Ovis aries: one gene and its partner. The protein of the gene in region 1 purifies or fractionates together with the protein of each later gene. This does not show direct contact. Links are inferred from orthologs where the notes say so. Each region holds a gene or a part of one and is shown in the gene's direction. Other genes may lie near its edges.

The links.
Region 2: the proteins of PGM1 (region 1) and GRHPR fractionate together in Homo sapiens (co-fractionation; 3 studies listed by BioGRID). This does not show direct contact. The link is inferred for Ovis aries from reciprocal best matches to the Homo sapiens genes PGM1 and GRHPR.

What each region holds. Positions count from the first base shown.
Region 1 is NC_056054.1:39,042,729-39,046,536, forward strand, and holds part of PGM1 (phosphoglucomutase-1), read left to right. Parts: intron 1-899; coding exon 900-1,090; intron 1,091-2,530; coding exon 2,531-2,685; intron 2,686-3,808. UniProt on the Homo sapiens protein: Catalyzes the reversible isomerization of alpha-D-glucose 1-phosphate to alpha-D-glucose 6-phosphate. The mechanism proceeds via the intermediate compound alpha-D-glucose 1,6-bisphosphate.
Region 2 is NC_056055.1:51,318,230-51,322,659, reverse strand, and holds the start of GRHPR (glyoxylate reductase/hydroxypyruvate reductase), read left to right. Parts: upstream 1-1,363; 5' UTR 1,364-1,386; coding exon 1,387-1,469; exon of another isoform or gene 1,470-1,597; intron 1,598-3,268; exon of another isoform or gene 3,269-3,356; coding exon 3,357-3,487; intron 3,488-3,851; coding exon 3,852-3,924; intron 3,925-4,430. UniProt on the Homo sapiens protein: Enzyme with hydroxy-pyruvate reductase, glyoxylate reductase and D-glycerate dehydrogenase enzymatic activities. Reduces hydroxypyruvate to D-glycerate, glyoxylate to glycolate, oxidizes D-glycerate to hydroxypyruvate.

The sequences.
Region 1 (3,808 bases):
TCCTTAGCATGCCCCCAGTGGGAGACACGAATTCTATACTGTCCTGACCTCTGTCGCATATATTGGTGTTGAACCTTCCTTGGTTGAAAGCATTTAGAGACGAACGTTCTTGATCATAACACTATGTATCACTGTAAAGTATGTGACGGGTTTTCCCTGTTGTATGTTGTTACTGTGTTTTTGTTTGTCTGTATTCTTTTAATCAGTTTGTTGGAAAGCATGATAGACGAGAAAGATTAGGACTCTGAATCCTAGCTCTCACTCCTGCTATCTATCTGTGTAAGTTTGGGCAAATAGCCTCCTCTCAGAACCTCCGTTTTCTTCCCCTAAATTGGAGGTGGTAATCATAGTACACAAGCTTTTATAAAATATGGGCTGTTGCTTGTTATCAGTGCCTCATATCTATTAATTCATTTAATTCTCACGTCTACCCTGTAAAGGTAACTACTATTATTATCCTCATTTTGCATTTGGCATAGATGGAAGCACAGCAGAGAGATGAAATAGCTTAAATAACTTTCCTCAAAATGGTACAGCCAATAATTGACAGCTGAGATCTGAACCCAGACACTCTGATTCCAGAGTCCAGGTTCTTAAAGCGCTAAGTTGTAGCACCTCATGGGCCATTTTGAAGGACTGAGAAAATGTTTAAGAAGCACCTGTGTAGCAGGATCTTCATAAGGTTCGCTTCCTTCCCTTCCCCCACTCTTTCCTAATCCCTCATTATTCCTGCTTGTAGAACTTTCTACTCCAGACTCATCTGCCCACAAGCCCTTGAATACAGTTTGCACACTCTCTGCCGTTTGTGCCATTCTCCCTAGATCGCCTCTACCTAGTCCCCAGTCCTCACCTTCTGTGATCAGTTTCATTTCTGGTTCTTCATTTCATGTTCTGCATAGTCGTGGGACCATATGTGAAAAAAATCCTCTGTGAAGAACTCGGCGCCCCTGCGAACTCGGCAGTGAACTGCGTTCCCCTGGAGGACTTCGGAGGCCACCACCCTGACCCCAACCTCACCTACGCAGCTGACCTGGTGGAGACTATGAAGACAGGGGAGCATGATTTTGGGGCTGCCTTTGATGGAGATGGGGTGGGTGCAAGTGCATTTACGTGGACTCTGATGCAGGCCAGGCCTAATGTGCTCAGTGGGGGAAAGCAGGCCCTGCAGCCTGGAGTGCAGTCAAGCTCCCTCATTGCACCTGGAGTCGGGGCTCAATTATTAGAAGACCCTCTTGACAGGATGACTTGAAGTAGAACCATGTGTCTAGTGTTTGCTGAGAAGGGCAGGGTGATTGGGGCCTGGTTATCATGTCTTGACTGGTGCTCCATGAGCTGACTGGGTTCTCGATCTCCATCCTTAGGTAGATTTTTGCTCTTAGCCAGCAGCTGGATCCTTGTTCAATCTCTGGAAAGGGTTTTGGTCTTATGATATACCCATCTGTTCATTCACATTAGCTGAAAGATGAAACTATAATGAGAGAATTAACAGTTTATTCTTTAGCTACAGTTAATATTTGAAATAAACATGCTCTTTTATTTGCATTGGTGAGTATGTAACAGACAAGGAGGGACAGTGTCTTAGAGATAGTAAACATTACACATATTTACTTGGTTAAAAATATATTTTGGTGGTTGCTATTGTTCTTTAACATCAGCTGGAATTCATTGTTTCCTATAAAATAGCTTTTTCAATGTTAATATTTTGAGAAATTAAATAGCAGAGATTGGGACATTCCCTGGTGGCTCAGTTGGTAAAGAATCCACCTGCCAGTGTAGGAGATGCAGGTTCAATCCCTGAGTAGGGAAGATCCCCTGGAGAAGGGAATGGCAACCCTCTCTAGTATTCTTGCCTGGAACATCCCATGGACAGAGGAGCCTGGTGGGCTACAGTCCATGGTGTCTCAAAAGAGTCAGACACGACTTAGTCACTAAACAAATGCACAAGCAGACATTATTTTCAGTGTGTCTTTCTGTTGCAGTGCATCCTGGGTTTCCTCTTTACTCTCAGTTACTTGAGCGCTTCCTGTATATCAGGCACCAGGAGAACAGTGAGGTGACAGCATATTTTGTTGGGTCCTGCACCAAATGGAGGTGCCAAGATTTAGGAGCCTTTCCTTGAGGAAATCTGCTTTTTCCTTGGAGAATGCCTGGTAGACCTAGCAAGCTTTAAACAGCCCACATTTCCTCTCTCTGTGATCTCTGCTGTCTTCTGGGAGAGAAGAGAGGTGATTGGTTCCAGAGTTTGGAGAAGGTCAGGGAGGTTACATTCAGCTGGCCTCTGGAGGGAGAACAGAGAATTCAGCCTGGAAGGAGTTTGCACTTTAACTCAAAACAGTTTTAGCTCTTTGGCACGGAGGTGCCATTGGCCTAGTGGTGCTGTACAGATCAATTAGGAATAAAGTCCAGTGTGTAGAACCCGGTATGAATAAATGTATCAGCTTTAAATTTTACAAAACCTCCATGTAAGATCGTTCGGTTTCTTCAGCACTTTGATTAAAAGATCTCCCTTTGAATTCCCCTTCTCCCAAAGGATCGGAACATGATTCTGGGCAAGCACGGGTTCTTCGTGAACCCTTCAGACTCTGTGGCTGTCATTGCTGCCAACATCTTCAGCATTCCATACTTCCAGCAAACTGGGGTCCGTGGCTTCGCACGCAGCATGCCCACCAGTGGTGCCCTGGACCGGTAGGTCTCTCCACTCCCTTGATTCCCAAGCAGGCCCTCATAGTGCTGGGAGCACCCTTCCTCCCCTTTCAGCTCAGACATCTGATACATACGTAGTGTGTGATCTAGGGGTTTTCTTGAAGGAAAGGAGTCATTTTTTCTGGATTGGATATGCCCAGTGTGCTGCTTTAGCACTCTGCATTTCTCCCATCCTGGCTCTCCTCACACTGTGTGCTGAGAGTCTGTTTACTTGACTATCTGCCCTGTTGAACTGGAAACTAATACAGAGAAAAGAATGTCTTTGTCACTGTGCTAAACTCTGACTGATCATGGCGTGCCTGGTACACACACACACACACACACGCCTCATTTTAAAAAAATGAGTGATTGAATGTTAATGGATAAATGAATGGATGGCAGTTCTGCTGTAGTCAAGACATCGTTCTAGAGACTCACTTTGGGCGGTGTGCACAGAGTTGGGGTGAAAGACTGACGTAAGATCAGTGTTTCAACAGAACTTTCAAAGAAATGTTCCCCATCCAGCGCCCATCAGATGCCCATACACGCAAGCATAGTAAATGGCCACTTATTCAAAATCTGAATAAACAGAAAGCTAAAATAGTTTTAAAAATACATTCAGTTTCGGAGAAACAAGGGACCCAGTGACAGTAAACAGTTGGTATCTCTGACTTGCTTGTTTATTATTGTATATCATCTCATTTGAAAAGGCTTTAGGTTAGCTTATGAGATCACGTTTAAAACATCTGATGAATGGAAGTCATAAATGAGCACAAACCAGAGATATTGACTACATCATGTTAGGTGTCCAATAAATAGTTCCTGGATGAATGGGAAAAGAACAAGTGAATGAATGAAAGGCTGAGGCTAGGGGGAATGTATATACTTGGTTCTTATAATCATAACTATTACTCATTAAACATTACCTTATGCTAGACACTAAGCATGTATTTTAAATCCTTTAATTCTCAGACTGGCCCCATGAAGTAAATGCTGTGTTTAATTCCTCTTTACAGATGGGAAAACAAAAGGAAAAAGAAGTTAACTAATTTGCCCAAAGTCACCCAGTGAATGAGGTAGCAGGATTTGAACCCGGAACCTTTGCTCCCAAACACTGGGATGTGCA
Region 2 (4,430 bases), on another chromosome or scaffold:
TCTTATAATTAGAGGGCTTAATTAGTCCCTGGTGACTGATGGGCCCACCTGATGCCAATTCCCTCCTGCAAATGGTCGCCTTCTCCCTCAGGTAGGAAAGACTGCTGCAATGTCCTGCCAGCGTCTGTTTGGCAAGGTGTGGCTCCAGGACCCTTTGTATATGATCCCTGTCAAATAAACCACTGATGTCTCTGTCTCCAGGCTCTTTCTTCAGTTTCGAAGCTAGACAACTACAAGGCTTGTAGGCCTGAGGTGTGCAGCCCAATATACCTGCTGTTTGTAAGTACTGTACATAGGTATCCTCTCAACAAGCCATGAGGCAGGTAAGTACTATTACACCTATTTTACAGATGAGGAAACTGAGGCATGTAGAAGGTTAGGACTTGTCCTTAGTGGGTCACAGAGCTGCGATTTAAACCCAGGCAATCTGGCTCCAGAGCCCGAACTCACCTCTCTCATGGCCTCGGTGCTTGGTGACTATCAAACATGGCCCAGGGCCCATGCAAGTGTTGCCTGCTTAATTAATAATCACAATAGCCCTCAAAGGGAAGTGCTCATCACCCCATCTTGAAGCTGAAGAAACAGCCTTAGGAAGAGGATGTGAACCGACCAAGACGACATTGCTGGTAAGTGACAGAGCTGGGAGTCAGACCCTGTCCACCTGACTGCAATCCCAGTCTCTGCCCATGACCCCACGGTCCCGCATGGCTCCAGCATCTTGGCCCTGACCCCATGCCTGACCTGCTTTCGGCCAGTCAGCAGGTGTCCAGCAAACTGGGTGGCTTTCAACTGTGGGCTTCCTGTGGGAAATTGCACCAAGCATTAAGGAGGTCATTCTGGGATTCAGGCTGCCCTGGTCCAGGCTCCTGTGTCTGCACGATAGGCCAGGCTCAGAGTCCAGTCTGTGTGGCTAAAGACCACTGCCTGGATCATTGCGACCATGATGGAACAGACCTAGAGAAGATGGCCGGCACAGCAGACCCTGGGAATGGGGATGACCCTTGACCACACCCTTCTCCCCCAGCACAGGCAGCGTACTCACAGCTGTAGGCACCTTCACAGGCACCCCTGCACGTTCACACAGGACCTCCCGTGGCTGCCTCTTCACCTATCCCAACCCCTAAGACCGACCGGAGGCTCTGAGGCAGTGAGTACTCAGAGGTAGGCCCTGGTGGTCAAGGGCACGAGCCTGCCACCAGCTCCAGGGCCAGTCTGTTTCCTTAAGGCTTGATCACACAAACGCAGAAGTGCACAAGGCGCACACTCCCCCCGCTCCGGAGCCAATCCACACCCTCGCCCCGCCTGCTCCGGCCCCGCCCCTCCAGAGGCCCCGCCCCCTTCCCGGCCCGCCCGCTCTGGGCCCAATATCCGGCGGCTGCGGGGTCAATGAGGCCAGTGAGACTCATGAAGGTGTTCATCACACGCAGGATTCCCCCCGAGGGCAGCGCCGCGCTCGCCCGGGCCGCAGAGTAAGAGCCCGGCGCCCCCGGACCTCTCCGCGCGCCGAGTCCCCTCCCTCCGGGCGCGCGTTCTGCGGGTGGCGTCGCGGGAAGGGGTTGCGGAGCCGGGGGCACCGCTCCTAGACCTCGGGCAGCCTGTACGTGGGGTGACTCAGCGTCTCCGGGCGGGCCGGGGGGCGGCCTCCCGCCACCCACTTCTTTTTGGTGGGGCGGACACGGCGGTCCGTGGGGCCAGGGAGAACTGCGATCCTGCGCTTGGGCCTTCGCCTAACTTTCGAACCCGTGCCTGGCTGGAACGGTCTTGGAGTTTGGGGAACCTTAGAGAAAGTCCTCAGGGGCCAAGCTTTCTCCAGGCCCATTGCTGTGCCCCTGGGAACCGCAGTTCCCGTGGCACTTGCAGCGAGGGTGGGGTGAAGGCTGGAGCCTTCCCCAGTCGTGGGCGTGGGGAGAGGGGAGACTACTCATGTCACAAGGTCTGAGCGACCTCTGAGGTCTCTTGGACGGGTCAGGGGCCTTGGCAGTCACTGGCCTGGTCCCTTCGTCGGTTAGCAGGGGGCCTCTGGTAGCACTTCTTAAACTGAACTCTGCACCTTACCAGGTGCTTCTTATAAGTAAACTCTTAATTCTTCAACGCTGTGAAATCAGTGCTGTGATTCCCACTTTACAGAGAAACTGGGAGAGGTCAGGTACCTTCACCAAGCTCTATAGGTGGCACAGCTGGGATTAGAAATCTGCTCTGTGGCAGTCTGAGCACTGCGGTATGCAGATTTTCACTTCCCATGTCAGGCGAGGAGAAGGTGGACCCAGCCTTAGAAACAAGTGCTAGGGGAAAATGAAATTTGTTTCTTTTGTTGCCTGCAATCAAACTTTTGCTGAAGACTTGCTGTGTGCTAGGCATTGAGGGGGAGAGGGGAAGGCAAAGACAACAAGAACACTAGTAGCGGCGCTCACACTGCTGCAGCGCTGGGCCACTGTTCAGGAAAGGAGGCTGCGTGCGAGGAGGCCGGCGCCTGGGCCGGGGGTGTTGGAAAGTGCCAGCAGCTCTGTGTCTTGCACATGTAGATTTTCCGTGCGTTTTGGCTGCATTGAATTAAATGTCATGGGCCAGAGGTTGGGCAGCACTGCTGGGAAACATGCCTGGGGCCCACCAGCCACTCTGGAAGCGCCCCTTGAAACTCCTCCCTGTTGAACTGCTTTGGTCTTGTCCATGGCTCAGATGGTAAACAATCCACCTGCGATGCGCGAGACCTGGGTTCGATCTCTGGGTTGGGAAGATCCCGTGGAGGAGGGCATGGCAACCCACTCCAGTATTCTTGTGTGGAGAATCCCCATGGACAGAAGAGCCTGGTGGGCTACAGTCCCTGGGGTCGCAAAGAGTCAGACACGATTGAGCGACTAAGCAGAGCACAGCACATGTACAAAGTCAAGAACAAGGGTTACTCGTTTCACGGACTCACAGGAGAAGATGCACAACCAGACAAGGGGTCCAAGCCCGGCTGCTGCCAGGAGCCCCCTCCTGGCCTTCTCAATAGGCAGCCTGGCCCGGGAGCTCGCAGCCTGTGAGGCCTCCTGTGGGGGTAAAGAAATCTCTTCTTGTGTTGAGCTGAGAATGGTCCCCGTGACTTTCTCCTTTCAGCTTAGGCCCTTTTCAGTCCTTACTGGAGAGCTCTGCTCTGTGACAGCCTTCACCCTTCAGCCACCCTCAGAACAATTCTGAGGCTGCCCCCACCTAATCTTGACTCCCCTCAGCCAGCCCCAGGCAGCTTGAGGCCAGAGCAAGCAGAAAACAATGTTTTCCACTCTGACAGGGTCGGTGGATGTGGCCGGAGAGCTTTGGGGGCCTGTGGGCACCTGAGGGGCTTGCCCACTTCTGAGTGGTCTTCCCTTTGTCTTCAGCTGTGAGGTGGAGCAGTGGGATTCTGATGAGCCCATTCCCAGAGAGGACCTGGAACAGAGAATGGCTGGGGCCCATGGCCTGCTCTGCCTCCTCTCGGACCGCATAGACAAGAAGCTCTTGGACGCTGCAGGTGTGTGTGCTGTGCAGGCCTGGGGAGGGCTCCCGGGGTGTCTTGGCCTGCTGCTGCTGCTTTCCAAGCAGGTCTTTAGTGACTTCAGCGAGCTCTGAGGGCATTCACTGTGGTCCTAGGCCACAGCTCCATGTGGCACACACTGTGCCCCTCTTTGCTGGCTGTGAGTCCCCGGAGGGAGACCTTAAGAGGGCAAAGACCATGGTGTGGAGGAGAGCCAGGGCCCTGGGCCCTTTTCCAGCTCTGTTCAGGCTTGGTTTATGACCTTTAGCAGGGCCCTCCCTTTTCCAGACCCATCTATATATGTGGGAAGGCCTTGAATCCCTTGAGGAAAGATACAAATAATGCTTTTTCTGCCCAATAGGAGCTAATCTCAAAGTCATTAGCACAATGTCTGTGGGTGTTGACCACTTGGCTCTGGATGAAATCAAGAAGCGGTAAGTGCAACTTGGGCTCTGGAATAAAGGGTGACTACCAGAGAGGGAAAAAGAGGAGCTGAGTATCTATTTGTTTTTCCTTCATATCTCTTGACCATTTGGTGAAAATGTAAGGTAGCCAATGATAAAATCTGCCCATGTGTGCACAGGTCAGTTAAGATAAGTCTGAGCAGTCAGAAACAGTGGCTAACAATGTCCAGGTAATATCCTTTCTCATTCATTCTTTTTTTTTTTTTGACCCTCACATCAACCCCTTCAAGTAGAAAAGGCAAGAATTATTATTTCTCTCTTCAGATGAGGAAATTCAGAAAAATTAAGTAATCAGTTACTGGAGCTCCACACATTGGAGCTTGTTCTTCCATCTTATATCCTTCTCAAAACGGGAGATGGTCAAGAGGGGACTGAGGGCTGGCCAATCCTGGGAGCCCACTACAGCTCTGAGCTTCCCAACAGGCAGCGCAGAAGGAGCAAAGCTGCATCACAGCAGTGTCCCAGCAGTAGAAACT